Linked DNA regions of Xenopus tropicalis. The protein of the gene in region 3 binds, or shares a complex with, the protein of the main gene of each other region. Links are inferred from orthologs where the notes say so. Each region holds a gene or a part of one and is shown on either strand. Other genes may lie near its edges. The genes, in order: brd8, epc1, morf4l1, sin3b, phf12, vps72 and mbtd1.

Region 1 (3,500 bases), about 70 Mb from region 3:
GTTAAATGTATATAGTTAAATGTATTTTTATTTACTGATGTTACGGTCCATTTAAATATGAGTTCTGCCAACGAGCAAAAATAACAGCTTGAAATCACTTACTAAAGCATTGTCTATAAATAGACAGTGGGGGGGGGAAGATTAACACAGGCTAAAGAATTCTCACATATTTCCAAAGAACTGAAATTAGATTTTACCCCAGGAGGTGAGAGTCAGTAAGAAGAAAAAGGCTCCTCCAGGGCAGAGTGAATTTACATAGTTACACAAGGCTAAAATGTACTATATACTGTAGTACAAATTGCGCAAATAAATATTTTCAATTACAGCAACTTTTTCCAGTTTTGGACAATTCAAAACAAAATCAAGACAGTTGTTTAAACATAGTTTTACTGTACATTATTTACAAGTTATTCACAATATATTGACAACAATTTAATAGGTGAATGGAATTTGCTTGTGGCAAAAACCAATCTATTTTGTTTGGGAGTGTTTTGCTTCAACTGGAATGGCAATCTATTCTTCTATTTCTAACAGATCACTCAATCATTATGGCGCCTGATTTTCTAGATGGGTACACCTCACTTCTTCATTTTCATGTCTGCTTCAATAGCACAACGGCGGCCTCGTGTACCTCCATCCTATTAGGTAAAAACAGGAAGGATTAGAAAAGCACCCTGGATGCATTTTTAAGCTAAACCTTGCAGCACACATAATTATTTATATTGCAACACATTAGGCAAAATGCAATACTCTACATACCTTCAGTTCTCCGACATCAGAATTTTTTAACTTTGCCTCACTCTAGTGCTGACTCAACCCTGCCTGTTTGCAGATTTGCATGTTCTCTGAAGTGCTGCTCTTAATAATAGTAAATCTGCACTGAAGAAAATATTCTTCTTTTCCATTTCACTCTGTACTTTGGTTTATTTTTTTTAGGTGCAATTTAAAACTTATATAAATCCAGCAAAAACATGAATAGCTTTTTGCTAAAGCTCTGCTATAAACCACCATTTTGAGAAAAAAGCTGCACAGAAATGTAGGAAGCAGTTTAAGTTGCAGTAGAAACAGAACAGCATTACCAATAAAGCACATAGAAAACACTTTCAGGACTTTGTCTGATAGCTTTCATTACTAAAGGAAGCAGGATATGAAAGATACAACCTTTCAAACCCAGTGCAGCAATTCAATACTTACAAAGAGAGAGAGAAGGAAGGCAGGAGAGCCCATGGGGACACTGTCCTGTTAACAGACAAACAGAAAAACAGGTCAGATTCCATGGAGACTCTCCAACACAAAACACGCATTTCAGACACACGTGACAGTAAATGAAGCAGAAGAGAAGACAAGCCCACAACATTAAGCTCAAAGTTGCAAACACAAGAAACCCATAGAAAAACACTGTTTTGATATAAATATTTCACAAAATTCACATGGGCTAAGAAAGCAAAGCAAGCACTCCACCACCAAAAACTTTAGTTACTTTATCATAAATAGAAAATTAGTTAGCAAAAGTATCAAATACTTTCCACTATTAATTAAAGACCAGCATAATTTGCTCGGTATACTAGGAGCGCACATTATCGATTGAATAGTGCCTCCATTGAAAGGTAAAAAAGTATATAAATTTCAGTTTTATATAAATTTTTCCCCAGTTGTTAATCTTATGACTTCTCTCATATTATGACTAATATTTTGGCCCCTATTGCATGTGTAACATAGAGATCTAAATATATATCTATTTTCAGCCTGCAGTTTTCCCTAGCTGCTATGAAGGAGATATTGACTTCCTTATGCCCTCCTACAGTCTGCCTGTCTAGTTAAAAATCCCTTTAGTAAGCCAACAGATGACGTGATCAGTTGAATGTGGCCATTACTCCAGGCAAAGATAAGCTGAAACAGACCCTTTCAACCACACCATGCACAAAGATATGCCACAGGGCTTTCACAGACTGCCTTTTTTTTTATAAACATCTGTACATTTCTTGGGGATTGAAGCAGCTCTAAATTAAAAGAAATAATTGTTATCAATAACGAACAGTGATAGCTAGGCCTCTCTGCACTGGCAGACATTAGTAAACATGGATATTTTTACCTTCTCTGAAGCATCTTGCTTGCGTGTTGAATCTCGAAACCTTAGACTTTTTGCACTTATGCCTGACTCTGATGTCTGCATGATTAACTGGGTGGCCAGAAATTGCTGTGTATGAGAAACAAATCATGAGCATATTATATTGGAATTATTATAAAAGGTATACTTTGAAAAAATAAATGGTGTGTTGGATCTTTAAAAGTACACAAGAAACTAATGACCACTCAAAACTGAATTTAGCAGCCTAAATTCTTAAACTAGGAGACCTAACCATTTGTGCTGGCTTGGGGGGGGGGAGGAAAAAGGTCAAGAGATGGATTAAGTCTTGAAATAATTGACGCATGGGTTGTAGGCTTCCTTTGTCCTTTTGGGTCACAGCTTAATGAGATTGAGTCTATGGCTGGAAAATGCATGCCATGTGCCTAAAATAATATATACAGGCCACATAAAAGTAAAATCTAGTTAGAAATTGACTATTGCATGGTTCAGCCTAGCCTGAAGTTATCAGGAAATTAGATACCTGGATCTGTTCCAACACATCTCTCTGCATTTCAACAGCCATATGATACACATCATGGTCAGAGCTATTATACATGACTGCATTCTGGAACATGAGCATAATATCTCGTTGAAACTCTGCAGTGCTCCTGATTAATCCAGTTTCAATGTTTTTCTTTATTGTAGATAAATCCATAGGTCTTGGAGGTAATAAACAAAGGAAAGGATATTAAAAGGGATCAAATAAAAAATCATTAAGCCCAACTAACAACATAACTTGTCAAATTCATTATATATCCATCCTTGCCTTACCTGTGTACAATGCTGTGATAGCCAGGGGCTATATCATCTGTCACAGGCTGCAGGAAAACATTGGCATATCTAGGAAAAGAGATTACATACACTCTAAGATTTACGATTTATGTAAAGAGAACTTCAAACTCTGATATATCAAAGATTTAAAATGCTATATCAGATTAAAGTAAAACCAGTAGCAGTTTTTAATGAAATCACAGCAGGTTTGTTGATATTCACAGTTATTCAGATTACAGTCCCAATGAAAATATGAAAATTGTCACCAACATGTTTTCTCTTAAGCTACTGCAGCACATGGCTGACTCTCTGCCTGCATATTAACACAGACAGAGAAATGGCTGATTTGGAGTTGATGGCACAATAATGTGAAAAAGCATTTTTTGTGCCAAATCTAATCTGTGTGTCTGCACACAGGCAACACTGTGTATGTCAGTGCAATTACATCATAAAGTGGACCATGATTTGTTACATTAACATTAAAGAAAAAGTAAACCTTTAAAATAATTAAATGTAAAATTTAAGAGATTGCTATTCTAAGCACTTTAGCAATTTACATTAATTATTTATTAATTTCAAGATATTAAGGGATAAAATACTG
Region 2 (4,175 bases), on a different chromosome or scaffold from region 3:
ATATAAGGACAGGTCACATGGCTGTGGCTCCCTGAGAAATGAATATGCCTAGCCCCATCTGAAATTTCAAAACTTAATATAAAAAATCTGTTTGAACTTTAATAAAACAAATTCCAATGCAGGATTCTGCTGGAGAAGCTCTATTGACTGATGTGTTTTGGAAAATAAAAAAATACATTTTCCCATGACAACATTCCTTTAATCACTTATAGCATCATTAAGTTCTTTCAAAAATGCATCAGCCCATCTCTAATCCAACACTAAGTAAAATTTGGATTTAATTTATCTGTCATGGTCTGAAACTGATAATGTGACCTTAAATTAATCACCTACACAACAATGTGCCATCCTGATAAGGTTTACTTCCATGGGGCAGTTCTGAGAAAAGGGCCTTTGTGCCATTAGCCTGAGCTTTGCTGTTCTACACTTTAGGGCTCTGGCACACGGGGAGATTAGTCGCCCGCGATACATGTCATGACAAATCGCGACACAGGGAGATTTGTCGCGGGCGACTAATCTCCCCGTGTGCCAGAGCCCTTAGGGCGAAGACATGTGGATCGATTAAATGCGGTGACTTTTTAAAAAGGCGGTGGCGGCACCATAGGATACTATACAGGACGCTGCAACTAATCATGCGCCGATTTGCACTGCATGGATTAGTTGCCACACGTCTTCGTTCTTACAGCAAAGTAGAACCTGACGAAGAGGCCCACCCCCAAAAGGTTGCTTCATGTGCTGCAGTGTTCCTTGCATGGCCATTTAGTAGGGGTTCCCTATACTTTTTTTAGCACCAGGTTACTTATTTTTGAGAGGCCAGGCGTGTGTAGTTTTTGATTCTGGTATGTTTTGGGTCAGGCCGATACTGAATACTCTGTACAAACAGCAGGTTTGTATTAACTGATGAGTAGTGCCCCAGTGCTTATGGCCCCACTCACGCCAGACAGGTGCAGCAATGACAGGCTGTACGGCCCCAGCTCACACACAGATACAGTCATGTGAATATGTTATGGAAGCTGGGGTGCAGAAGCCCCAAGAATGCAGATGATAACATACACTGACAGACTGCTGGCACGTGCAACCCAACTTGGGGTACTACCATTGCTTACCAATCAGATATACTCCATGCAGTCAGAAACATCAACTGTCTCCTACAGAAGTCCAACAAAGGTCAGAAGGAAAAAGCCAATTCTACTCTCACTTAAAAGCAAAATGTCAACATACTACACTTACATATATTATCTACAGCGAGGCCAATCCCCAGCCCTCACAGCAGCTTCACACTGGGTCCCAAACAAAACATTTCTTTAAAATGCAAAACTGATGATTAACCCAGGGCTGCATTATGGAGAAAATCTGTCAAAATGCAACTACATTACATGGCGCTTTACAGGCATCATTTCTGCCTCACATCAGTCCCTGCACCAGCAGAGCTTACAATCTAAGGTTCCTACAACATTTATATACACTAGTGCCACATTTTATTAGGAGTCAGCTAAGCTGCCTGTATGTGTTGGAGAGACCATTCCAGCCAATGGTTAATCCTAAATAGACAGCAATGCACTGGCCAAACCCTGTGTTACACCCCATTAAATATATACATCTAACAGTATAGCTTTAATCAGAGAACCTTTAGTAGATCATATTACTGACTATATTCCCCACAGCACAAGCTCAAGTCAGCAAAGTGGTTTATTTGTGCATTATGGAGGGATTGTACCCCCCTGGGAGGCATCAGAATGAACTACTACAATGAATAAAACGTGTGCCATGAACTAAGTTTACGCTTAAAAAGCTGATTTATTATATACACACACACACACACACATATATATGACATGGCCGATACATAAGAGATAGTTTCAAGCAATGGCGTGTTTCTATACAACTCCACAAAGACAGCAGAGAAACTACTACAGCATGCCGGCTCTCAGCTGTCAATCAGCTCCCAACGTACACAAACAATCCCACAAGGTGAGCAACTCCTGATCGCCAGCTCCCCCCAGCGACCGCACTTGGAGCTGCAACCCCGCTCAACAACCAGGCCCAACCCCAAAAGACAGGGAGAGAAACACACACAACAAAATGGCGGACCGCGGCCCCATCACGTGACCCCTTTGTGCCTTCCCGGCCGCTAAATTCTTCCCAGGTATCACCGGCGGACACACCGGGGACATATATCCCCACAGGGAGATCCGCTTTAGCCTCACGAGCCACCCCCGAGGATGGAATGACAGGGGGAGAGGTATGTGCGCCATCCCCGTTCCCGTCAGGGAGGAAAATGGCGGCCATTTTGTGTAAGCTTGCGCAGAGCTGGGACCGGGCGGAGAGGGGTAAAAGCGGTAAAGAGAAAGTGAAAAACGGTGCATTACCGACTCCTCTTCCTTCTCCATGCCCGTCGGCATCTGCGGCACGGCCCGGTTGATGGAGGCATACTCGTGCAAGTCCGGTAAATCCTCGCAGCGGAAGACGGGTAACGGTTTGGACGCGTCCAGCGCCCGCGCCCGGAACGATAATTTACTCATGGTGTGTCTAGCAGCGAGCCATGCGACCGACGAGCGGGGAAAATCTCCCGTGCCGCGCTCTCATGGAGCTCTCTCCGCGCCCCCCCTCGCTGCCTCCCCGCCAGCCTTGTTGTTCCGATAATAATGATTAATATTAGACAGGGCGCTTATCCTGGCACTCCCGGTGCCCGTGGCTCAGTTTGGGGGGTGGTTTGGTGGGAGTCTGTGTGCTCCTGTGGGCCAGTCTCTCCCTCCCTCTTCAATACGCCATGGCCAACATGGCGGACATTAAAACTCCGCTGTCTGCTCCCCCAGCCAACCCGAGCTGCGCAGCCATTCCCAGAGTGCATCGCGCGTTTGCGCGCTCTCCGGGCCCGCAGAGAAAAGCGGGGGCGCGCACAGCCGCTTCTCGTGCCCGCGCCTCTGTGACAGGACCCCGGTGCTTGAAGGGTCCCTCCACCTGGCGCCCTGCTGGGATGTGTAACAACACCAACAGCTTCACAAGGGAAATAAACCACTAATATGTGAATAAAAAGAAAATGTCTTTCTAAGCAACTTTATAATAAACAGACATTAAAGTTATTGGCAAACGTTATTGCAATTAATAGCACTGCCTGTCCCTGTTGTAAATCATGAAACAGTGTAGCACAAGTGAACTCTTCTGTCCAGTCAGGACTGCTATCAGCTACATTGTTTGATTTCAGCCTTCCATGCATATGGGCTTATGACTTCAATTGGCTCTCATCAGTGTCAGACTGGGAACCCTAAACCCAGTGTTGGACTGAGATACCAGGGGCCCACCAGAAAACCTTAGACCCCAGGCCCGCTTTCCAAACTATTTTTTTCTCTTTTCCTCACCCAGCCTCTTTATTCTCCTAGTCCCTTTTATTAACATGCTAGCATATATTCTTCCATTTATTTCTCCTCTTTCTTCCCATACTGAAATAGGGAATGAACATGAAACAGGCCAAATGATCAGGAGGGCCCACGGGGAGTTTTCCTGGTATCCTGGTGGGCCAGTCTGACACTGGGTCTTCATACATGGAGGGTTGTCCACTTCAAGCCCCCGTAACAACAAATACAGTCAAACCACAATTTTACATTCTCCAGGGTGCCAAAAATTGGGGTGCTACTGTATCTGCTTTTGTAGCAGTTTCGCCAAAATTTTCACCATAGCCCATAGAAATACAGGTGGCAGCCACATGCCCACCAAAGTCTTGTTGGTTTGTACCAAGAGGAGAACCAGCTTTGGGCTTTTACACACAGGTGATTCGCCCTGCATTTTCGGTGTAATGCGCTGCAGGAAAACACTGTGAAATGCCCGTGTGTAGGAGCCCAGCAGCTATCCAGACCCATTATTCTGACAGCTATGGAGTTATAAAGGAAGTATTCATCTTCCTATGTTGAAGACATTCTTTATCCAGAAGTTATTTCTTATTTAATCTAACCAAGTATTTCATCCTTGGTCATTTTTTAACCTTTGCTTTTTTGGCAGAGTCTGTAGATAGCATTGTTTGCAAATATACATATATGCCAGTAAATAAGGCTCCCTTGCACCAATGTGTCTTTCCAACCAAAATATATAACTAATAGAAATAAAAGCCTTACAGATGGTTCTGTACAGATCTTTCTGCATCTTTTTACTTTAAAAGGGTAGTTCACCTTTAAGTTAAT
Region 3 (4,272 bases):
CCAGATTGGGCAAAGATATACACTGACGGGTCCTGGGGTGTGGTTCTTTACCACCTTAGATTAGACAAATACTAAATTCCCCATTCACATACGGTCATACTGCACAATCTGGAACCTGCCCAAACACAAGCCATTTAGGATGCCCATGAGTAGGCAAGCTTTAGAGCATATGCAAGACTAAAAGTTTAAGCAGCACTGGTATAGCCAATATACAAACTTGCTACACAGAGATCCGTATGTTAGTAAGTCTAAGCACAGGATCTTTTAATTTACTCACAGTAAAATTCTTCCGGTGACAACTGGGAAAACAGCAATTGCAACAGAAGGTAAAGTGGATACTAGAATATACAGAATATATACAGAAGCTGCCATGAATCCTTTCTGCCTTCCTCTGGCTAAAAGTACAAAGAGCAACTTCTTTCCCCCTATGGCTTTTCCAAATCTTGCACAAGCAGCCACTGTCTCACTGGCAGGGTAAGCACAAGCCTCCTATAACAAATGGTATCAATCATATTTACACACACACTAAGTAGTAAAAATGGTGTGTGGTGTTACAGTTCAACAACTGTGGCTGGTAAACCATGGCCACAAGGTTAGTGGTAAATCAGGGGGCATATTTATTACAGTGTGTAAGCCAACATCACTAGTGATGGTGCCCATAGCAACCAATCAGTATTTAGAATTTGACAGTTACTTACAAGTTAGAAAACAAAAGATCACCAGAGATGTTGGCTTACACACTAAAAAAAAAAAAAAATATGCTGAGGTGTGTTGACAGCAAAGTCCTCTGGTGCAGAACAGCAGTAGTTAAAACACCAGTGTCACCACTGGTATTTAATAGCAAGGGCCCCTGTTCACACACAAAGAGGACCTCTGAGCGTGTGAACCTCCATGCAAAAAGTGACAGACCATTAGGAGTTGTGACAGATGGAGAGGAGCATTTTGACTTAACTGCATAAGCCTTTCCTCTAAAAAAGCATATCATAGTAAGGGCAACTCCATTAGGTTTCTGATATGTTAAAAAGGCAGCTATACATACACCAACAGTGTCAATTAATTTAAGCTGTTGATTGGCAGCAGAAAGAGCTCATTCTCTAGATGAGACATTCTCTATACCAGTGGTTGTCTGGCTTTATTAGTTCTAGACTCCACCACCCATGGCCACCAAACCTAACCTCATAACATGACTAAAGATATCTGAAAGAGACTGTTCCACATACTACTAGGTCAGGAAATAAGTTTTTATCCCAAATCTCACAAAGACTGGACTTCAGGCTAGACTGTCAAGTGTAACTAGAAGAGCAAATTGACAACTCCAAATTTCACTAATAGGGATATGATTCAGTGACAGTACAGTCCCAATGTTTCTTCATTAATGTCTTTGGCCAACAGTGCTGAGATCCACAGATGCAGAGAGATCCAACTACAGCAGCAACAGAAAATGAAGAAAGGGCTAAAGAGGACAAAGATGCTGTAAGGCAGGACTATGGTGGACTATTCTGGAATGACAGAACAAGAAATCAGATTCCTCACATTTTGATGCAGTACTAGAACACATGCTGGTGAGAGATTTAGAAGCAAGCCTGCTCTTCACTCTACCAAGATAGGACCTTTGTGACAGCAAAGTGATATAGGAATGGTGTAAAGTTAGTGGACCTAACCTTGCCCATTAAGGGCTCTGCCACACAGGGAGATTAGTCGCCCGCGACAAAACTCCCTGTTCGCGGGCGACTAATCTCCCCGAGTTGCCTTCCCCTGCCATCCCACCGGTGACTTACATGTTTGCCGGTGGGATGGCGGGTCATGGCAACTCGGGGAGATTAGTCGCCCGAGACAAGGGAGATTTGTCGCGGGCGACTAATCTCCCCGTGTGCCAGAGCCCTAAGAGTAAGGAAGGTGCCAAAGCAACAAGACTTTTGTTTGGGTGCAGGTTTGTAGAGAGAGCAGCTGGAAGGCCACATTTTCCATCCCTGCACTAAACACAGATCAGGTCAATATAAACCAACACCCCCATTACAACTGGTCAAGCTAAACACTGTATTTCTGCATGTGTCAGGCACAAGAAGCCGTAGGCAAGCCTATCCCCGTCCAGCTGCTCCCTATACAAGCAAGGCATTCTTATGAAGTCATGGTCCCGTCACTCCCACAATGGCGAAGAGGTAACCAAGCGTCTGAGCTACTGTCGCGCTATAAAAACGGGGTAACCAACCTGCGACTGCCCATCTGAGCTACTGCCGCACTGAGGCACGGCGCACAACAAAGATTTCCCGCTTGCTGCGCCTGCAGACAATGCCACGCCCCCTCCCCCATAAGGAAAATGCGAGATTTTACACGGAACACACTCTGCTGCGACTTCCCCACTCGAACTACATTTCCCAGCTTCCCCCATACAGCTAACCACGGCGGTCCTCAGGCTAGAGAACTGAACGATGTATGTCACCCCTTTAACGCAGTAAAGGCGAGGGGCGGATTTGTTTGACTGCAACTCTCAGACATTCGTAAGAGCTTGTATTGCCAGTTGCAGCCGAACAAATCCAAGAGCCGCAGATGCGATATCTTTCAGCCCATTAACTGCGCGCATTATTGGGGCACAGCGCTCTGCCGTCTGGTCTACCGCTCGGCGTTCACTTAGAGCAAAGGGGTGAGTGAAGACTACGGTGTAATGGTGGAAGCCACGTACAATGGCTTATGCTTACCCTCTTGGAACTTAGGCCTTGGGTCCTGCTTCGGCGCCATTTATAAACTCCGCGGCTCCCGGGAACGGATCCGCCGCATCTACTCACCGCGCGGACCCGCACGTCACCGCACGCCGCCTGCGCATGCGCGCAGGGATATGCCCAATGTGGCGAGCATGCGCAATAGCCACTAGCCCTCCCGGGGCACTATGGGAAATGTAGTTCGGCTTTAGTGGCGCAACCTCCCCCACCCTCACAAACAAAACAAGCATCTTCGCATTTCTGCTACAGTGGAAATAAGATGGAATGTTAATAAATAACATTTACTGTTCAAGACTAAATGCTAGGTAGGTACCTCAGGTATCTATTTCTATATCGATTTTAATGTTACTCGAGGCTGAATGCTTAGTTTACATATTCCAGAAAGTATTTTTTCATACAACGGCGCAAAATCTCACGCATTAACGTTTACTTAGTGTCTGGAAATACATAAGGCAAAATTTACCGAATGAAAACGTTACGCCCAACGTGGGGCTCGAACCCACGACCCTGAGATTAAGAGTCTCATGCTCTACCGACTGAGCTAGCCGGGCGCTGTTAATTCCGTTAATTTGCGCTCTAGTTACTAATAAGTATAAAGCAAAGTGAAATTTTCTCTGTTCTATCTATGGATTCTGGTCTTTTTTCCTCATAAAGTGTCAATTTACACTAATAACTCTTGCACACTCCTGCAGGGCAGGTATAAGCACAGAGGTCACCCACAGAGGCCAGCAAACAGTGGCATAACTAAAAGCTAATGGGTCTGACATTAAATTTATTTTAGCCCCCCCCCCTTAAAATTTACAAATAAGACAATTTTTATAAATCTATATTGCAGCTGTTTATTAGTCAATATCTTACAGGACCTCCTATTCCTCCTGGCAGTCCGGGACTGCAGCAGTGGCGTAACTATAGAGGAAAACCAGAACATATAGGGGCACAATTACTAATCCACGAACGTCCGAAAAGGGTCCGAATGCGTTTTTTCCGTAATGATCGGTATTTTGCGATTTTTTTAGTAAATTGTCGCAACTTTTTTGTAGCCGACGAAAGTTTCGGATTCATTCAAGCTTCAGTATCGTGACTTTCCTTGGGCCAGGTTGGAGCTGCAGAGTGTCATTGAGCCCTATGGGAGACTTTCCTTGGGCCGGGTTGGAGCTGCAGAGTGCCATTGAGCCCTATGGGAGACTTTCCTTGGGCTGGGTTGGAGCCGCAGAGTGCCATTGAGCCCTATGGGAGACTTTCCTTGGGCCAGGTTGGAACTGCAGAGTGCCATTGAGCCCTACGGGAGACTTTCCTTGGGCCAGGTTGGAGCTGCAGAGTGCCATTGAGCCCTACGGGAGACTTTCCTTGGGCCAGGTTGGAGCTGCAGAGTGCCATTGAGCCCTACGGGAGACATTCCTTGGGCCAGGTTGGAGCTGCAGAGTGCCATTGAGCCCTATGGGAGACTTTCCTTGGGCCGGGTTGGAGCAGCAGAGTGCCATTGAGCCCTATGGGAGACTTTCCTTGGGCCGGGTTGGAGCTGCAGAGTGCCATTGAGCCCTATGGGAGACTTTCC
Region 4 (3,500 bases), on a different chromosome or scaffold from region 3:
ATCTGATGACACCTACAAAAAAAAAAAAAAATTCAGTTCAGTGTATTTTTTTATTAATCTGCTCCAAGCATACAGTGTTTTATCTGCCCAACCCCCGATTTTTATATCCTGGTGTCACTTACAGGGCTAGCCAGGGATGTCTGAACAACCACTTTGCCATTTTTTGGAAGTTCAATTTTGTAACCAAGTGGCAGAAAGGCATTAAATCCAAGCATCAGGTCTGGATGCTCGTGGAACAGCTGAGAGACCCTGCGGATAACTCCAGGAGTGTCAATGCTGCAAAAAAAAAAAAAAAAAATAAATTAGAGCAGTGTCCTTCTCTATAGCATAAAAAAATTATCCTGGTCTGCCAAAAACCATACCTCTGAGATTTGAATTCTTTCATAATCTCCAAGAATCCACTATAAGTAGCTGGATCACTTCCAAAACGGATTTTTACTTGGTCCAAATAAGAAAGAGCATCTTCCACCTATAATTTAAAAAAGTAGACATTTCACACTCATAAAACAAACACATTATACTGGATAAAGGATTACTGATTGGCTAAGCTCAGGTATACCCTTCTCCACTGACACTGAAAGAACATTAACATTCTCTAGCAGTCAGGAACATACAGGTATGCTCAGGGAAAACTTCTCCCTGCTGCACGAATAATGGATTCCCCCCCCCCCCCCAGTGCCACCTGATGTTAAAAAGGATGAAATCTATGTAGACCTAATCATACATGATGATGATGGGGTAAGTGTGAAATGTTATATTTATATATTTTTATATGTTTTTGTAATAATAGATCCCATACCTATAATTCTTTTAAACAGTTTAATCCATGTTCTTACAAATGAAAACATTATAGATGCTATTGTTGACAAACACTTTCTTAAAGTAAAGAACTAAATTTATATTGTCACAACACTTCCCACAATGCCCTGCATGCTTATTCACAGATGTGTTATTCAGCTGGCATCTTCTATTTTGCTGCAAGAGTTAGCAGTGCAAGAAAAAGCAGGGGAAAAAAATGCTTTAAATACCATTTCCAAAAAAAGTTGAAATAATTGAAGAATTGTGTTGAATATACACTGCAAAGTTGCTTAAAATGTATTAGGCACTATGGTTTTAGGTTTACAACTCCTCCCATACCTATAAACCAGCAATCAATATTTTCTTACAAGCTGGGGGTATTATTTAGCTACAAAACTTCACACATTGGCAGTGCACTCCAGGTCAGCATAAAAAGCTGCAATAGCTGGTATTAAAATCAATCAACCTTTATTTGCGCATTTAAAAAACACAACTTGAGGTCTTACGCATTTCGTGACAGCGCACTTCCTCAGAGAGGTCCTGGAGTGCACTGCCAATTTGTGAAGTTTTGTGACGAGATTGGTCCGCTGGCTACAGACTCAGGGCAGGAGCACCCGGGTCAACAGGACTGTTTGGTAAGCATAATGCTTTCTTGTTTGGAAGTAGGTTCACCCTGGCCGTGAGTTTTTGCACCTGAGTGCAAGGTCTGCGGCATGTTGCACCTGGACCAGAGGTGGGGTGAGCAGTTTTTGTGTGGGGGAACCTGTATTGCTCTTTCCAGACAGGCACCTGTATTTTTAAAACTAATATCCATGTTTAAACTAGCCCTTAAACTGTGTGCTGTGGATATATCATTTTTTCATGTGGTATTATTTAGCTGCCTACCAGTAAAGGGCAATCTACCCTACTGCGTTTTGATTAGAGTGTAGGATAGAGGTAATAAGCACTGCAGGGTTAATAAAACAAAAGACACAGTTAATTAAACCAAATTCACTCGTAGCATTTCAATCTTTTGTGCAACCATTGGTCATTCCCACCCTCCACTGTGGTTCAGGGCTGAATCGTCAGATATGGAGGTAGAAACAATAGAAATTCTACCTCCATCTGCCGATTCAGCCCTGAACGTAGATTTTGCTTGGGCGCCATCAAAATCTTTTAACCTGGCGGATCGAAAAGTCGACCGATATCTGCAGCCTTTTGCGATATCGGTAGCCTCTTCGAGCCGCCATACACACACCAAATATCGTACGAAACTTTGTCATCGGTGCGTGTATGGTGGGCTTAAAGTTGATTTTATTATAAGGAACAACAGAAGTCCAATTAAAGGCATTTATGATTGAGATCCCCAACATTATCAGATAGAGTTATTAGCCTCCCTGATATTTGAAACAAAGTTACTGTGATGTCCTTCATTTCATGCCCCCCATTTTCTAGACAAATATTCCTATGATCTTGACCTTATCCTACCTTACACTAATATCAGGAAAACTAGCTTGTTATATATAAGTAGAGTATATTCTCTTTGGTTAAGTGCTTTCTTCATCACTTCTTTTTATTTTGAGGGATGCACCAAATACACTATTTTCGGATTCTGGCGAACCCTGAATTCTTTGCGAAAGATTTAGCTGAAAACCGAACTGAATCCAAAGTTTCATATGCAAACTAGGAAGGAAACTAGATGGAAGAACTGCATGTGCAGTGCAAATTTTTTAACTTCCGTGTTTATGTGACAAAAATTTACTGTGATTTTAAGAATTTGGTTCGGCCAGGACTATGCATTTAGCCGAACCCAAATCCTGCTGAAAAAGTCCGAAACTTGGCCAAATTCTGAACCAAATCCTGGATTTGGTGCATTTTTTTTTTTTGGCATTCTCAGTGGCATGCCGTGTCAAAAAAAACCCCAAAAACCTGTTACATGGTCAGCTATCCAAAGAAGGAAAACCTGAAGTTTTGTCAAGTTTAAAGGAGATTGGCACACAACAAGCTTTGTCACTGGGTAGAAATTGCATCTTACAGCAGCAACAAAACACTCCAAAATAACTTGACATCATTAACAGTGAGAATTGTTGCAAGCAAAGGCAATGTCATGCCATTACACACTACAAAATGTTTTACCCAAGACAACTGCCATTTTAGTCAGTAAAGGGGTGTTTGCAGTTGCTTTGTCGCCCCCAGGGAGCGTGAGTGCCCTCACTTGAAGCACATGTGCCTTTTCACAGATACAAATACAAGTGTTTAGCTTCATGCAACAATGTAACATACACAAATCCATAGATCTCTTGAAATAAGTATTACATGAGAGATTTCAATATCTTTTTTTGCTTTCAATGATTCATGCACACTGAGTGTCACATTTAGAGAGAGACTTGCTTAGCATGTTTTTAAAAGGGGCAGAACACTCCCTTTTTTCAATAAATAGGACTTGTGCTAAACATGCTTTTTGTGACTAATCTATTCCTTGAGATAAACTTGGCAAACTGAAGCTACTCCATATTTGGTCCCTGCAAGTTAAATAATTAGATTACAGGAAATCTTACAAATATTTTGCCTGCATAATGGACTTTGGCTCATTTGTGCACTGGTATTCAAATTATCTAACATGCAACTAACTAAACATGAGGTAGCTTTGGTTTCCCTGTTTAGCTAACAAAAATAATGTAAAGCATAGTTTTTTTTTTTAGATTTCAACAACAGTATATTCA
Region 5 (3,500 bases), on a different chromosome or scaffold from region 3:
TAGAAAGTACTTATGCACAGCTACTAAACGCCAGAACATACATCTGTTTTAGTAACAGTGACAAGTAGCTGCTACTAGTAGCTCTGTGTGTCTTCACCCTTAGGCTAATGTCTCACTGGCCATGTTAGTTGCCCACAATAGATCTCTGCAACTAACCGCTCTGAATTGCCTTTCCACCAGCAACAAAAGGAATTGCTTTAGTTTTCCGAAGCTGCCTGTAGGAGGAAACTTTGCGAGACTTCGGAAAACTGAAGCGATGCAAAGGCCTTTCCACCAGCCATTCCTATCGGTGCTGGTGGCAAGGCATTTTGGAGCGGTTAATCTCCAGCAATAGCAGAGATTTATTGCGGGTGACTAACACTCTCCTTGGGACATCAGCATTAAGGTGGCCATACAAGGCCCAATCAGCACGGTGTCAGACTGATTGGCCCATGGGCCAATCTGACAAACCATATGATTATCCATAAACATACACAGCACCTTTCTATTGTTCTGTTCGGAAACAGCAGGAAGTGTGGAGCCACGGATATGCATCTCCTCTTCCTTCACCAAAGTAAAATTTTCCCTCATGGCCAATAAGCCTCAAACCACCAGGATTGAGGTTTATCAGTTTTAGGGGCACCGCGACTGGCCATACATAGTCAAATGGTACGGTCAGAATTGTCCAAATTGCCTGACTGCAATCATTCTCCTTATCAATCATTATTAGGGCTCAAAATCTTGCAATAATATTAACAATGGGTTTCATATAGAATGTCTGGCCACCGTTATTAAGATAGCTAGAATCTAAGCCATAAAACAGGACCTGTTGGTTTGAGAAAAATAATAAACATGTAGGAATGAAAAGCCACCCAGCTTACCTGTAGGTGGTGGTGCTGCGGCACAAAGCCTTGAGGCCCCTGAAGCTGCAGAGGTTACTATGTCACAAACAGCTTGTGGTGGTGTAAGTGCCCTGGTACCAGATAAAGGTGAACTGACAGGCCTTGAGTCATGTTGGTTCACAGAAGCCCCAAGCGGAGTCTGTGCATTTTTCCTTGACAAAGTGCTAGAGGGTTCAGGACTAGTACAGGAGCTTGGAGGGGTAATGGCTGGTACTGGCAGCCGCTGAGTGCACATGGTTGAGCCTGCTGTTGTTTCAGTTTTCACAACATGGTTTGGGAGAGGCACAGATGCTGTTGGAGTGCCTGAACGAGGCCGTGCTTGTCTTTGTGACAACATTGCAGTCTGTCCAGTCAGCCTTTGAGGGTCCATCAGCTGTTCCATGGGCTCTGGGCTAACACTGTTAACATGAGGCCCATTTGCTTTAGACTCTGATACAGCAGGTCCATTTGTGGTTCCACAAGCAGCTGTGAGACATGGTTTTAGGACATAGGCAGTATCTTCTTGTAAGGATGTGGTCTGACTTGCAGAATGCAATCCTACAGGTGTGGGGAACTGGGGCTTGCCCTCGGTGTGCTGGTGAGAGTTGGAAACTGAGCCATCAGCTGCAATAACTGGCTTGATGTCCAATGAGTCTGTGTCATCAGAGGTCCAGGAAGGAGGCATCTGCTTAGCAGATAAATACTTCAGTATGCTGCACTGAAGTGCAACCACACTACGGAGCCACTAAAGAACAAAACAATTTCAGCAATTTAAATCAAGCATATCAGGTCTGAAGTTGCACAGGGGGTATGTAAATTTAAGAAGTAGCCTTTGTGGCCATGTAGGATAGCAGCTCATTAAAGAATAGCCTGCTATACAACTGGGTGCCTTTATCTGAAGGCAGAATAGTATGTATAAAGCACTGCAAGTTACTCTATATTAACATTTCCACCAAAACCAAACTCAGCACAAGGAACTTCCTATGGTTGCCTATGAAATGGCCCATCTCTGTGCACTGTGCAGGTAACCATGGCCCCACTAGCATAAAGTCACACTACTTAGACTGCTAGCCAAGCCCCCCTACTGCCCTCTAGCAATGGCATCATACTGGGCTAAAATTGCAGCAAGCTGAGCCAATAATGCTTTCACAAGAGGAAAATATACTGCTGGCTCTTAATATTTCCATTTTTTTTTTTGTAACATTAGCCTTAGAGCAAGACAGTAACTTGCACAGGTGCGGGTAGCATCCAACAGTAAGACAACAGCTAATTCCCAAAGAAACTCTGATTTGGGGGGTATAATGTCACTTATATTTTGACTTCAGAACAGTGAAAGTCAAAAAATGTCCAATCTAGCCAAAGCTTAAAAATGTTATATGCATTCAGACACCAAGTAGGGCTCAAACTACAAGTCAGTCAGGAAAGACCTAAGCCATTGCAGTTTGTTACTGTGAAGGCTAGCTGCTTGAGGCATTTAAACGTAGGACATGCATAACTACAGCAAACTTTTACCTTCCGACCGATAACCAAAAGTAAGCAAAACATGCACCTATAACAAGGATAAAAGCTGTATTGGGTTAGGTATTCCAAAATATTATTTCCAGCTTCTTAATGCATAATCCCTTTTGACAAACCAGAAAAAAAAAGTGCAAGCTATGACACACGTGTGTGCGTGTTTATCACAGTCACACCTGCCTGGTTTAGGGAAAAGTAGTTTGCAGCATCTGCCTTAGACCAACCATACTGTCCAACAAACTTACAGACCGCAACAGATCCAGTTTACAAACATCTATTTACAACAACACTAATAAAACAGAAGGAAGCTCATTTTTGAGGATGTCAGACCAACTGACAGTAACACACAGAATCTGTATCCATGCAGTAAGATTTTAATTTGTAAAAATGTAATTACTGGTCAGCTAGGTAAACTGTGGAGCTGCACTATCTTGCTTGAACGTGTTAAAACTGGCACTTACCTCTTGCTGCTCGCTTTGGTTAGCTAAGTGCTCAGAGTGCAATAGGTGCTTTTGAGATTCCCCAGGGTCACCGCTGCAAATCAATTCCCCGTCGCGTATTCCGGCTGGAGGAATTAACTGAGGAGGAGCCTGATACTGTGCCTTAATAGCATCTGGAACCTAGGACAAATAGGCTCAAGTTAGAAATTATGCTATTTATTAGAGGTTGTAATGTAAAGAAGAGAAGATTTATGGTCAAATATACTAATTAGATTAGAAAACAAGACTGTCAAACTGCCTAGTAGTTTAAAGCAAGTTTCCTGAAGCCTAACCAACTCCTACTGAAGTCCTGAGTGTGCAATACAGCACAGTGTAAGCATGTGGCTTCTGTTCAACTGAACTGTTGGTTGAAACACTTGGGAGTCTGTGCACCAGTTCACTTTAAGTGAAAAGCAACTGCACCGTTTTTCATCTTGGTATGCCACAGCCCTAAAACTGTCACAGACTCTTCTTTCAACAGCACTGTAAATGCAAAATGTACTTTTTAGATTGGGGGTAAATGATTGCCATGAGTCCAGCCAGATTGATTTTACATCTGGAATTGAAGACGTAATAATTACAAAATAAGAGTCTTTAGTACTTCAAAGGAGGCCATACACGGGCCGATTCGGCAGCTTATACTAGC
Region 6 (2,680 bases), on a different chromosome or scaffold from region 3:
GGCAAACTTAGGGGGCTGTTCCTGCTGAATTGTACTTAGTACAGGGGAATCCCTATGTGCCATAGTTTTATGGTATCTCTCTGTACAGGCTATGGGCAAACTTAGGGGGCTGTTCCTGCTGAATTGTGCTTAGTACAGGGGAATCCCTATGTGCCATAGTTTAATGGTATATCTCTGTACAGGCTATGGGCAAACTTAGGGGGCTGTTCCTGCTGAATTGTGCTTAGTACAGGGGAATCCCTATGTGCCATAGTTTTATGGTATCTCTCTGTACAGGCTAAGAGCAAACTTAGGGGGCTGTTCCTGCTGAATTGTGCTTAGTACAGGGGAATCCCTATGTGCCATAGTTTTATGGTATCTCTCTGTACAGGCTATGGGCAAACTTAGGGGGCTGTTCCTGCTGAATTGTGCTTAGTACAGGGGAATCCCTATGCTGCCACTGGCGCCCTGTACTTTTACTCAGCATGAAAAGCCATAATAAAACTCACAACTAACTACAATTCACAGAAATTACTAATCAAATTTATTATAATGTACATAACAGACAGTCCCCCCCCCCCCCCCCCAGTGCTCTAGGAGCATTTAACCAACAAAACATCTCTGGAAACCAAAATGCAAACTGACTTCAATTTTTATAGTGTGTTATCGGACCTGGTGTGTGGTTGCTAGGGTAATCAAGCCCTAGCAACCAGATAGTAGCCTATAGAGAGAGCTCAGCCCTATATAACATACAGTACGTCAGTCAGGTTAAAGCCACCCTGGTAACTGCATCTGTGCCTTTGCCCCACCCCCCATACTGTTTGTTTAGCTGCTATTGGAAGCAGGTGTCCCAGTCCCCTGTGTGTGTTTGGGGTGGGCGGGGTTTACCATTTGGTAATTTGAACTGAATGGCGGCCAATTACATTACTGCTAAGGGGAGCAGCCCCCCCCCCCCCAAATGTGAGGGGGCTCATTAAGAAATTCAACCCCCTGGCCCCTCCCATTTCTTCTACTCCAGGAATCAGAGGAGCAATGTGGCCCCTGTAGATGTTCTACAGCTTCCCAATGGGAATAATCCTTTGTACATAACTCTCTCAGAGTGCTGTAATGGCCGGCAGACGCTAGAGGGCGCTGTATCAGGCGCTTGGCACGCTCTGCTTGATAATGATTTTCTGCCTCGTGTTGCGTTGGGCGGCGTCAGCAGAACTGGGGGCGGGGCCCATAGCGGCCGCCATGGCGGCGTTAGGCAGGCCGTGCGTGGTGATGTATTTTTTGTAAGCGTCCCGGATGATTTTGAAGGCTTTGGCGTTATAGTAGGGGATGTCTGTGATGGGGTCTCGGTACTGGGCCGGCTTATGGGTAACGGGGCAGATGTCCCGGACTGAGAACTTGCCCTGCTTGGTCCTGGGGAAGAATCGCTCGAAGGATTCGTCGTCGCTGAATGTTATGAAAGTGCGGGAGCATTTGCCCGCGGACGAAACTTGGGCGCCGTCCCCTGTCTGCTCCTGATCCAGCCTGTGGCCCCCAACACATAAAAGAAAAGCAACAAGAGAAAACGTTGTAATGGTTAAGAAAGTGAGTATCTGGTTGCTAGGGTCACTGACCCTAACAACCAGGCGTTTGCTTCAATATCAAGGATGGAAATGTAATGTACACAGGGCAGCATCACATGACTGATGGGTTTGCCCACTGAGGATGCCCCTTGTTACACATAACAAATGGGAAGAGGGAATTGTACAAAGTAGGAGCTGCCATGTTGCACCTACCCTTCCACATCCACATTCTCCTCCTTCACGTTGAGCTCGGTGATGAGGGGCATGACCAGCGAGTGGTGGCGGATGGTGGGGCCGACGCACCGTCGCTTCTTGTGGACCTGCTTCTTCCTGTCGGCTTCCAGGCGCTCGTAATTCTCTGTGGGAGAAAGGGAGAAACCATTGGAGCACGGGGGGGGGGGGGGGGAGGGCACCGGAGCGGGACGGGGAGTGGCGGTACTCACGCACCTAGGGAGCGGATGTTGATCTCCTCGGTGATCTTGGCTTCTTCCAGCAGCTCCACCTGGGTCAGCGGTCGGTCCTGGTGGGGCCCCTTCTTTTTCTTGGACTGGATCTGCCGCTCTTTTACTCGCAGGAAAGTCTGCCGCGTGTGCTCCGTCGTCGATTGGCGCATTTGTTTGCGGCCTGAGAGTTTAAAGGGGAAGACTAGTTAGGAGAGCCAATCGGATTCTGAGCATAGGAAACCCCCTAGCTCACTGCCCGCGGCATACTCACTGTCTACTGCGTCCTCTGGTGTCTCCTGAGGGTGAGGCTTTTCTGGGCGGCTTTTTGCTGCACTGCTGGGAGGGGCATCTGCTTTCTTGGGCTTTGGTTTAAGGAGTTGAATTGGCTCCTGTTTGGGGAATACAAGGAAATATTAAAAAAGTAGCATAGCCTGGCTATAAAAGAAAGGCTGCATGGCTCTCAGTAAGTACAAGACACACAGATATAAAAGAAAGGCTGCATGGCTCTCAGTAAGTACAAGACACACACGGCTATAAAAGAAAGGCTGCATGGCTCTCAGTAAGTACAAGACACACACAGATATAAAAGAAAGGCTGCATGGCTCTCAGTAAGTACAAGACACACACAGATATAAAAGAAAGGCTGCATGGCTCTCAGTAAGTACAAGACACACACAGATATAAAAGAAAGGCTGCATGGCTCTC
Region 7 (4,109 bases), on a different chromosome or scaffold from region 3:
ACATTAAAAAAGAAAGCCAATAGCTCTGCAGTGCACACAACACTGAGTAATACATCTTCCTTTTGTGTACAGAAAAGAAAGAAAAATCTGAACTTGATAAAATAATTTTCCCTGTGAAAATGTTTTCACAATAATTATTTACATTGATTTTCCAGTAAGTATTAAAAGTACGTGCAGAGAGAAGCAAAGTTTGCTTTGTTGTTACTGCAATTTTACAACTTGCTTTAAAGAAACATCAACAATTTAAAAAGTGTTTTAAAGTAATTAAAATATAATGTGCTGTTGTCCTGCACTGGTAAAAGTTGTGTGTTTGCAATTGTATAGCCACGGGGGAAGCAATTCAAGCTGAGCAATTGAGAAAATGCACAGCAGATGAGGTCTGTAAGATACAATGGTGTTTTACAGAGCTTAACTGTTATAGCAATGTAACCTGTGCCATTTAGCCCTGTTTCAATTTGAATAGCTACCCCCATGGCTACACAGCAGCTTTGTTTAAATAAACTGCAGAAGCGTTTCTGCAACAACAGACAACTTTTACCAGTGCAGGGCAACACTGTTCCTTCAACTAGAGCACATTGAGAGAAATGGCTCATCATTTGCACATATCCCTTTTTCTTTGAACATAAAATCACTTTACATACCCATTCCTGATTTGCCATCTGGGTATGTGTAAACCTGCCCATTGTTTTTGATAATGGGCAGACTGGATGGCAAGGGGGCGACTTCCTCTTCACTCTCATCCGAGCTGGAACTGCTGCTGGTGTCCTCACTGCAGCTATCATATCCGTCAAACATTCCGAATGAGTCCCGACGTTTTCTCTCAGAAAGTGAAGAAAGATCAGCCTAAACATGTATAAAAGAAAAAAGGAATTTCAATTGACTTTATAGCTTTGGTTGCTGTTACCAAACCCAACTTCTAGATGGATTTCTAGTTGCTATATTCTCTGCCCCAAGCAACCTTTCCTTCACTGGAAAGACTTCAGCAGGGGCCAAAATGCAAACCTGTATTTTCTTACATATATTATAGGAAAAAGACACTCATACTGGGTTGAGTAATTCTGGAATGGCTCTGTGCAATGAATGTTTAATGGAGATTGATGGGAAGCAGAAGAAGCAAAATATCGCTCTAGCACAGAAACCATAGCAACTTGTTTTTGCTTTCATTGCGATAATTACAATAAAAAAATCCCATGTGAATATGCCGATTTTGTTCTTCAGAAAAGGTAGGTTGGTCTAGGATCCTCCCCTTCTCTGCAAGAACTGGTTGCCTTTCTAGTTTGACTAGTTTAGCTACATAAGCAACCTTAAGGCAACATTACTGGATACAAACACAAAGATTTCTACATGAACATCTCACTGAATAAAACAGGATAAAAGAATAAAATAAAACCCATCCTTTCTTCCCTATTGGCATCAAGCATCTTCTTAATTACCAGGTGACAATGCCAATCTCAATTCCCATAAAGAAAGCGACAAAACCCAGCATCATTTTGAACTACTGATTTGTGGAATTACTGGCTCTACAACATAACTACAACAGTCAAGGTTTAATAATGCACTAGTACAGTACACAGACTTTAGCCTTGACTAGCATATGTGATTCTGACAAATGAAATAAGTATGCACTATTTAAAAGTGTGTAAAAAAATCTTTACATATTCTAACAATTTCTGGCTTCTAATAATAACAGATAGGTAATACAAATGAACCAACACAGAAGAGGCAAACAAATGGCTGGGTTGATAGCTGGAACCCACATTGTTAGCCTGGTTCAGGGCTGTGTGCAGAGACTGGAAGTTGAGAATTCAAAGAACAACATTGAAAACAAAATAAACTGCTTCCACAGTGAAACTGAAGACTGTCTTTTAGCCTTCAGCCCTAGTGTCAGGTTAGTGCCTTATAACCATAAATCACACACTCACACACAGCAAAGAACTTCTATTACACTCTGTGGAAGCAGCTATGGGACCCACTTGTTTGGCAAGGTTGCCAAAACATTAAACTGCTAATTGCTCAGAAGCATTTGCAGATTAGGGACAATGGGTTACAAAATTAGTGTAAAACAGACGTTATATTTATGAATTCCCCTAATAAATGTATAGCACACAAAGGCCTTTCATTACTTCCCACACTGATCATCAGTCTGCCTATTTTTTTGCCTAATGCACAACATAATACACTTTCAAGAGCAACTTGAGCTCCTATGCATGCGTTGCTGAATTATTGTGTGGAATGCACCATATATGAACACATAGGCATAACTTTACTTTTAATAGTTACTAAGTCAACAAAGTGGCAAATGAGATGGAAGGTGTGTATAATTCCTATCTGTTGGGCTTTGGTACCAATTCCCTACCTTTACCTTACTGAGCATCATGAGTGTACATGTAGAAAGTGCAAGCATACCAACAGCAGTCAGGCTGAGAGCTGGAGTGTTGAGTTTAACATGCCTATATCCTGCTGGCTTGCTATACCCTCTTCTTAAGGACTTTATTGTACATGAGGCTTAGTGTTAAACACATTTTGTCCGGTTTCCAAACGCACGGTACCCTGGCCCCAGCCCAAACTACCCTCACTTCCCAGAAACCACAAGGCCTCGTTGCATACAGAAATGACAACAAAAGAGCCAGGGCAGCAGCACTTCCATACACCCCGTGCCCTTTACTTACCAGATCCTTGGTCTTTTCCATTAGTCCCTCATGAGGAAATCGTGTATGCAGCCCCCGCTGTCAGCGGGCTGGGACAATCCAAGAAAATAGAGACTAAAAAAAGAGCAAAACAATGAACTCCTTCAAAATATCAACAAAACCAGAAACACTTTACTGCGCAGGCGCAACGCTAAACCTACAGCAATTGGCTGCGGGTTTATATAGTAAGAGCCGTGCCTCCGCGAATAACCTAGTTTGGCACGTTTCGGGTGCCGTGGCTTCCGGTGGCTTGTAGCTATTACGGAAGTACTTAGAACGTCGGAAAGTGCTAAAAACGGATTGTTTCACGTAGCGGTGCAGTAAGGGCTTTTTCGGATATACAAGTTTAAGTACACTCGAAAGGTACAAGGTAAATTATCTTGCTGCGTCTCTTTCGCTAGAAACATGTATTTCCGGGTTGTAGAGGGCAAAGGTCACCGGAAGTTCCACGTGCGTTGGGCACAGTGAGTGGAACGTTCAGCTTTATATCTGCGAAAGAAAACGGTGTCTTGTGCATGTTTTATATTGGCATTTGCACACGTTGTTGAGACTCAAGAGGCACGTCCCTCCTGTTTACTTGCTAAGCATTTCTATTTTTGCCGTCAGGTTTTTTTTTTGGAATTGTATATTGTATATTGCAAACTAGCCAGATTGATACGGTTACTACTGTATCTCTTAAAAATACGGTTCACTCATAAAAACACCTATTGCAGAAGTGATCAGTTATTATTTTAGAAGAATACAGATTAGCAGCCAGCATTCACCTCTCATTTTGTGTATTTCATATGTGGGCATTCTGCTAGAACTGGTAGTTAACCTTTGCAATGACTTTTATTATTATTATTATATCATTAGTTTTGTTTAGCAGCAATATAGTTGGGAGTTTTAGCAGCTATCTGGTTGCTAAGGTCCAAATTACCTAGGCAACTTTTTAACTATTACCTATTAGCAACTTTTTGCGTAAACATTAGCTCTGTATCAATTTATAACATGGCTGGTTTGTATTAGCAACTGGAAGATGGCATACTAGGGGAGATTAGTTACTTGTGGTAAATCTGTGCTGCCACAGGGACTAATCTGAAAGTGCTTTGGGTTACTTTTTAAGAAACTACTATGTTTTTGTTGAACTTTTTGAGTAAACATTAGCTCTGTATCAATTTATAACATGGCTTGTATTTAGATAATTTAAAATGAGTTTTTATAACTTTAATGTTTTTTTATTTATGCTGGTTTTACAGATTCTGCTGTGGAAATGCTTTCTATCGAGGGTAATGAAAATGAAAGAAAGAAGACTTCCCATAAGAAAAGGCGAAGAGACAAATCTCCAGAGCAAGAGCAAAACATGAAGGAGGAGGAGGAGCTGAGGACCAAACATTTAAAGGCTTTGGCAGACAAACCAGAGACAGATACGATTTTAGAAGA

What was found.
Region 1: morf4l1 (region 3) and brd8 share a complex: the UniProt entries of both Homo sapiens proteins name them as parts of the nuA4 histone acetyltransferase complex. The link is inferred for Xenopus tropicalis from reciprocal best matches to the Homo sapiens genes MORF4L1 and BRD8.
Region 2: morf4l1 (region 3) and epc1 share a complex: the UniProt entries of both Homo sapiens proteins name them as parts of the nuA4 histone acetyltransferase complex. The link is inferred for Xenopus tropicalis from reciprocal best matches to the Homo sapiens genes MORF4L1 and EPC1.
Region 4: the proteins of morf4l1 (region 3) and sin3b are in contact, whole or in part, in a cryo-EM structure (PDB 8BPA), measured with the Homo sapiens proteins. The link is inferred for Xenopus tropicalis from reciprocal best matches to the Homo sapiens genes MORF4L1 and SIN3B. Residues at the interface, in NP_996670.1 of Homo sapiens: Gln217, Gln219, Tyr222, Ser348, Tyr350, Glu351, Val352, Ala353, Pro354, Pro355, Tyr357, His358; in NP_056075.1 of Homo sapiens: Cys394, Arg396, Arg402, Ala403, Pro405, Lys406, Thr407, Tyr408, Ser462, Phe463, Pro464.
Region 5: the proteins of morf4l1 (region 3) and phf12 are in contact, whole or in part, in a cryo-EM structure (PDB 8BPA), measured with the Homo sapiens proteins. The link is inferred for Xenopus tropicalis from reciprocal best matches to the Homo sapiens genes MORF4L1 and PHF12. Residues at the interface, in NP_996670.1 of Homo sapiens: Glu201, Lys204, Pro205, Leu207, Val208, Asp209, Trp211, Asp212, Tyr251, Ala252, Glu255, Val256, Gly259, Ile260, Glu262, Tyr263, Val266, Met267, Thr270, Gln271, Leu272, Leu273, Tyr274, Lys275, Arg278, Pro279, Tyr281, Ala282, Leu285, Arg304; in NP_001028733.1 of Homo sapiens: Cys62, Glu64, Gln81, Cys82, Asn84, Pro86, Pro204, Leu206, Arg207, Arg208, Pro209, Phe210, Leu212, Leu213, Ile214, Ala216, Ala217, Arg220, Asn221, Pro222, Thr223, Gln224, Phe225, Gln226, Leu227, Pro228, Glu230, Leu231, Thr232, Thr330.
Region 6: morf4l1 (region 3) and vps72 share a complex: the UniProt entries of both Homo sapiens proteins name them as parts of the nuA4 histone acetyltransferase complex. The link is inferred for Xenopus tropicalis from reciprocal best matches to the Homo sapiens genes MORF4L1 and VPS72.
Region 7: morf4l1 (region 3) and mbtd1 share a complex: the UniProt entries of both Homo sapiens proteins name them as parts of the nuA4 histone acetyltransferase complex. The link is inferred for Xenopus tropicalis from reciprocal best matches to the Homo sapiens genes MORF4L1 and MBTD1.

Annotation. Positions count from the first base shown.
Region 1 is NC_030679.2:47,817,573-47,821,072, forward strand, and holds part of brd8 (bromodomain-containing protein 8), read right to left. Parts: intron 2,969-3,500; coding exon 2,900-2,968; intron 2,788-2,899; coding exon 2,610-2,787; intron 2,198-2,609; coding exon 2,093-2,197; intron 1,240-2,092; coding exon 1,195-1,239; intron 639-1,194; coding exon 579-638; 3' UTR 1-578. UniProt on the Homo sapiens protein: May act as a coactivator during transcriptional activation by hormone-activated nuclear receptors (NR). Isoform 2 stimulates transcriptional activation by AR/DHTR, ESR1/NR3A1, RXRA/NR2B1 and THRB/ERBA2.
Region 2 is NC_030682.2:22,921,438-22,925,612, reverse strand, and holds the start of epc1 (enhancer of polycomb homolog 1), read right to left. Parts: upstream 2,801-4,175; 5' UTR 2,523-2,800; coding exon 2,370-2,522; intron 2,243-2,369; exon of another isoform or gene 1,318-2,242; intron 1-1,317. UniProt on the Homo sapiens protein: Component of the NuA4 histone acetyltransferase (HAT) complex, a multiprotein complex involved in transcriptional activation of select genes principally by acetylation of nucleosomal histones H4 and H2A.
Region 3 is NC_030679.2:118,095,689-118,099,960, forward strand, and holds the start of morf4l1 (mortality factor 4-like protein 1), read right to left. Parts: upstream 2,801-4,272; 5' UTR 2,737-2,800; coding exon of another isoform or gene 2,697-2,736; intron 1-2,696. UniProt on the Homo sapiens protein: Component of the NuA4 histone acetyltransferase (HAT) complex which is involved in transcriptional activation of select genes principally by acetylation of nucleosomal histones H4 and H2A.
Region 4 is NC_030677.2:111,959,178-111,962,677, reverse strand, and holds part of sin3b (paired amphipathic helix protein Sin3b), read right to left. Parts: intron 470-3,500; coding exon 363-469; intron 277-362; coding exon 123-276; intron 13-122; coding exon 1-12.
Region 5 is NC_030678.2:33,959,008-33,962,507, reverse strand, and holds part of phf12 (PHD finger protein 12), read right to left. Parts: intron 2,996-3,500; coding exon 2,837-2,995; intron 1,606-2,836; coding exon 861-1,605; intron 1-860.
Region 6 is NC_030684.2:137,929,488-137,932,167, forward strand, and holds the end of vps72 (vacuolar protein sorting-associated protein 72 homolog), read right to left. Parts: intron 2,365-2,680; coding exon 2,247-2,364; intron 2,157-2,246; coding exon 1,980-2,156; intron 1,891-1,979; coding exon 1,746-1,890; intron 1,495-1,745; coding exon 1,116-1,494; 3' UTR 501-1,115; downstream 1-500. UniProt on the Homo sapiens protein: Deposition-and-exchange histone chaperone specific for H2AZ1, specifically chaperones H2AZ1 and deposits it into nucleosomes.
Region 7 is NC_030686.2:23,317,743-23,321,851, forward strand, and holds the start of mbtd1 (MBT domain-containing protein 1), read right to left. Parts: upstream 2,801-4,109; 5' UTR 2,691-2,800; coding exon 2,670-2,690; intron 844-2,669; coding exon 642-843; intron 1-641. Other genes in the region: utp18 (U3 small nucleolar RNA-associated protein 18 homolog), read left to right, coding at 3,940-4,109. UniProt on the Homo sapiens protein: Chromatin reader component of the NuA4 histone acetyltransferase complex, a multiprotein complex involved in transcriptional activation of select genes principally by acetylation of nucleosomal histones H4 and H2A.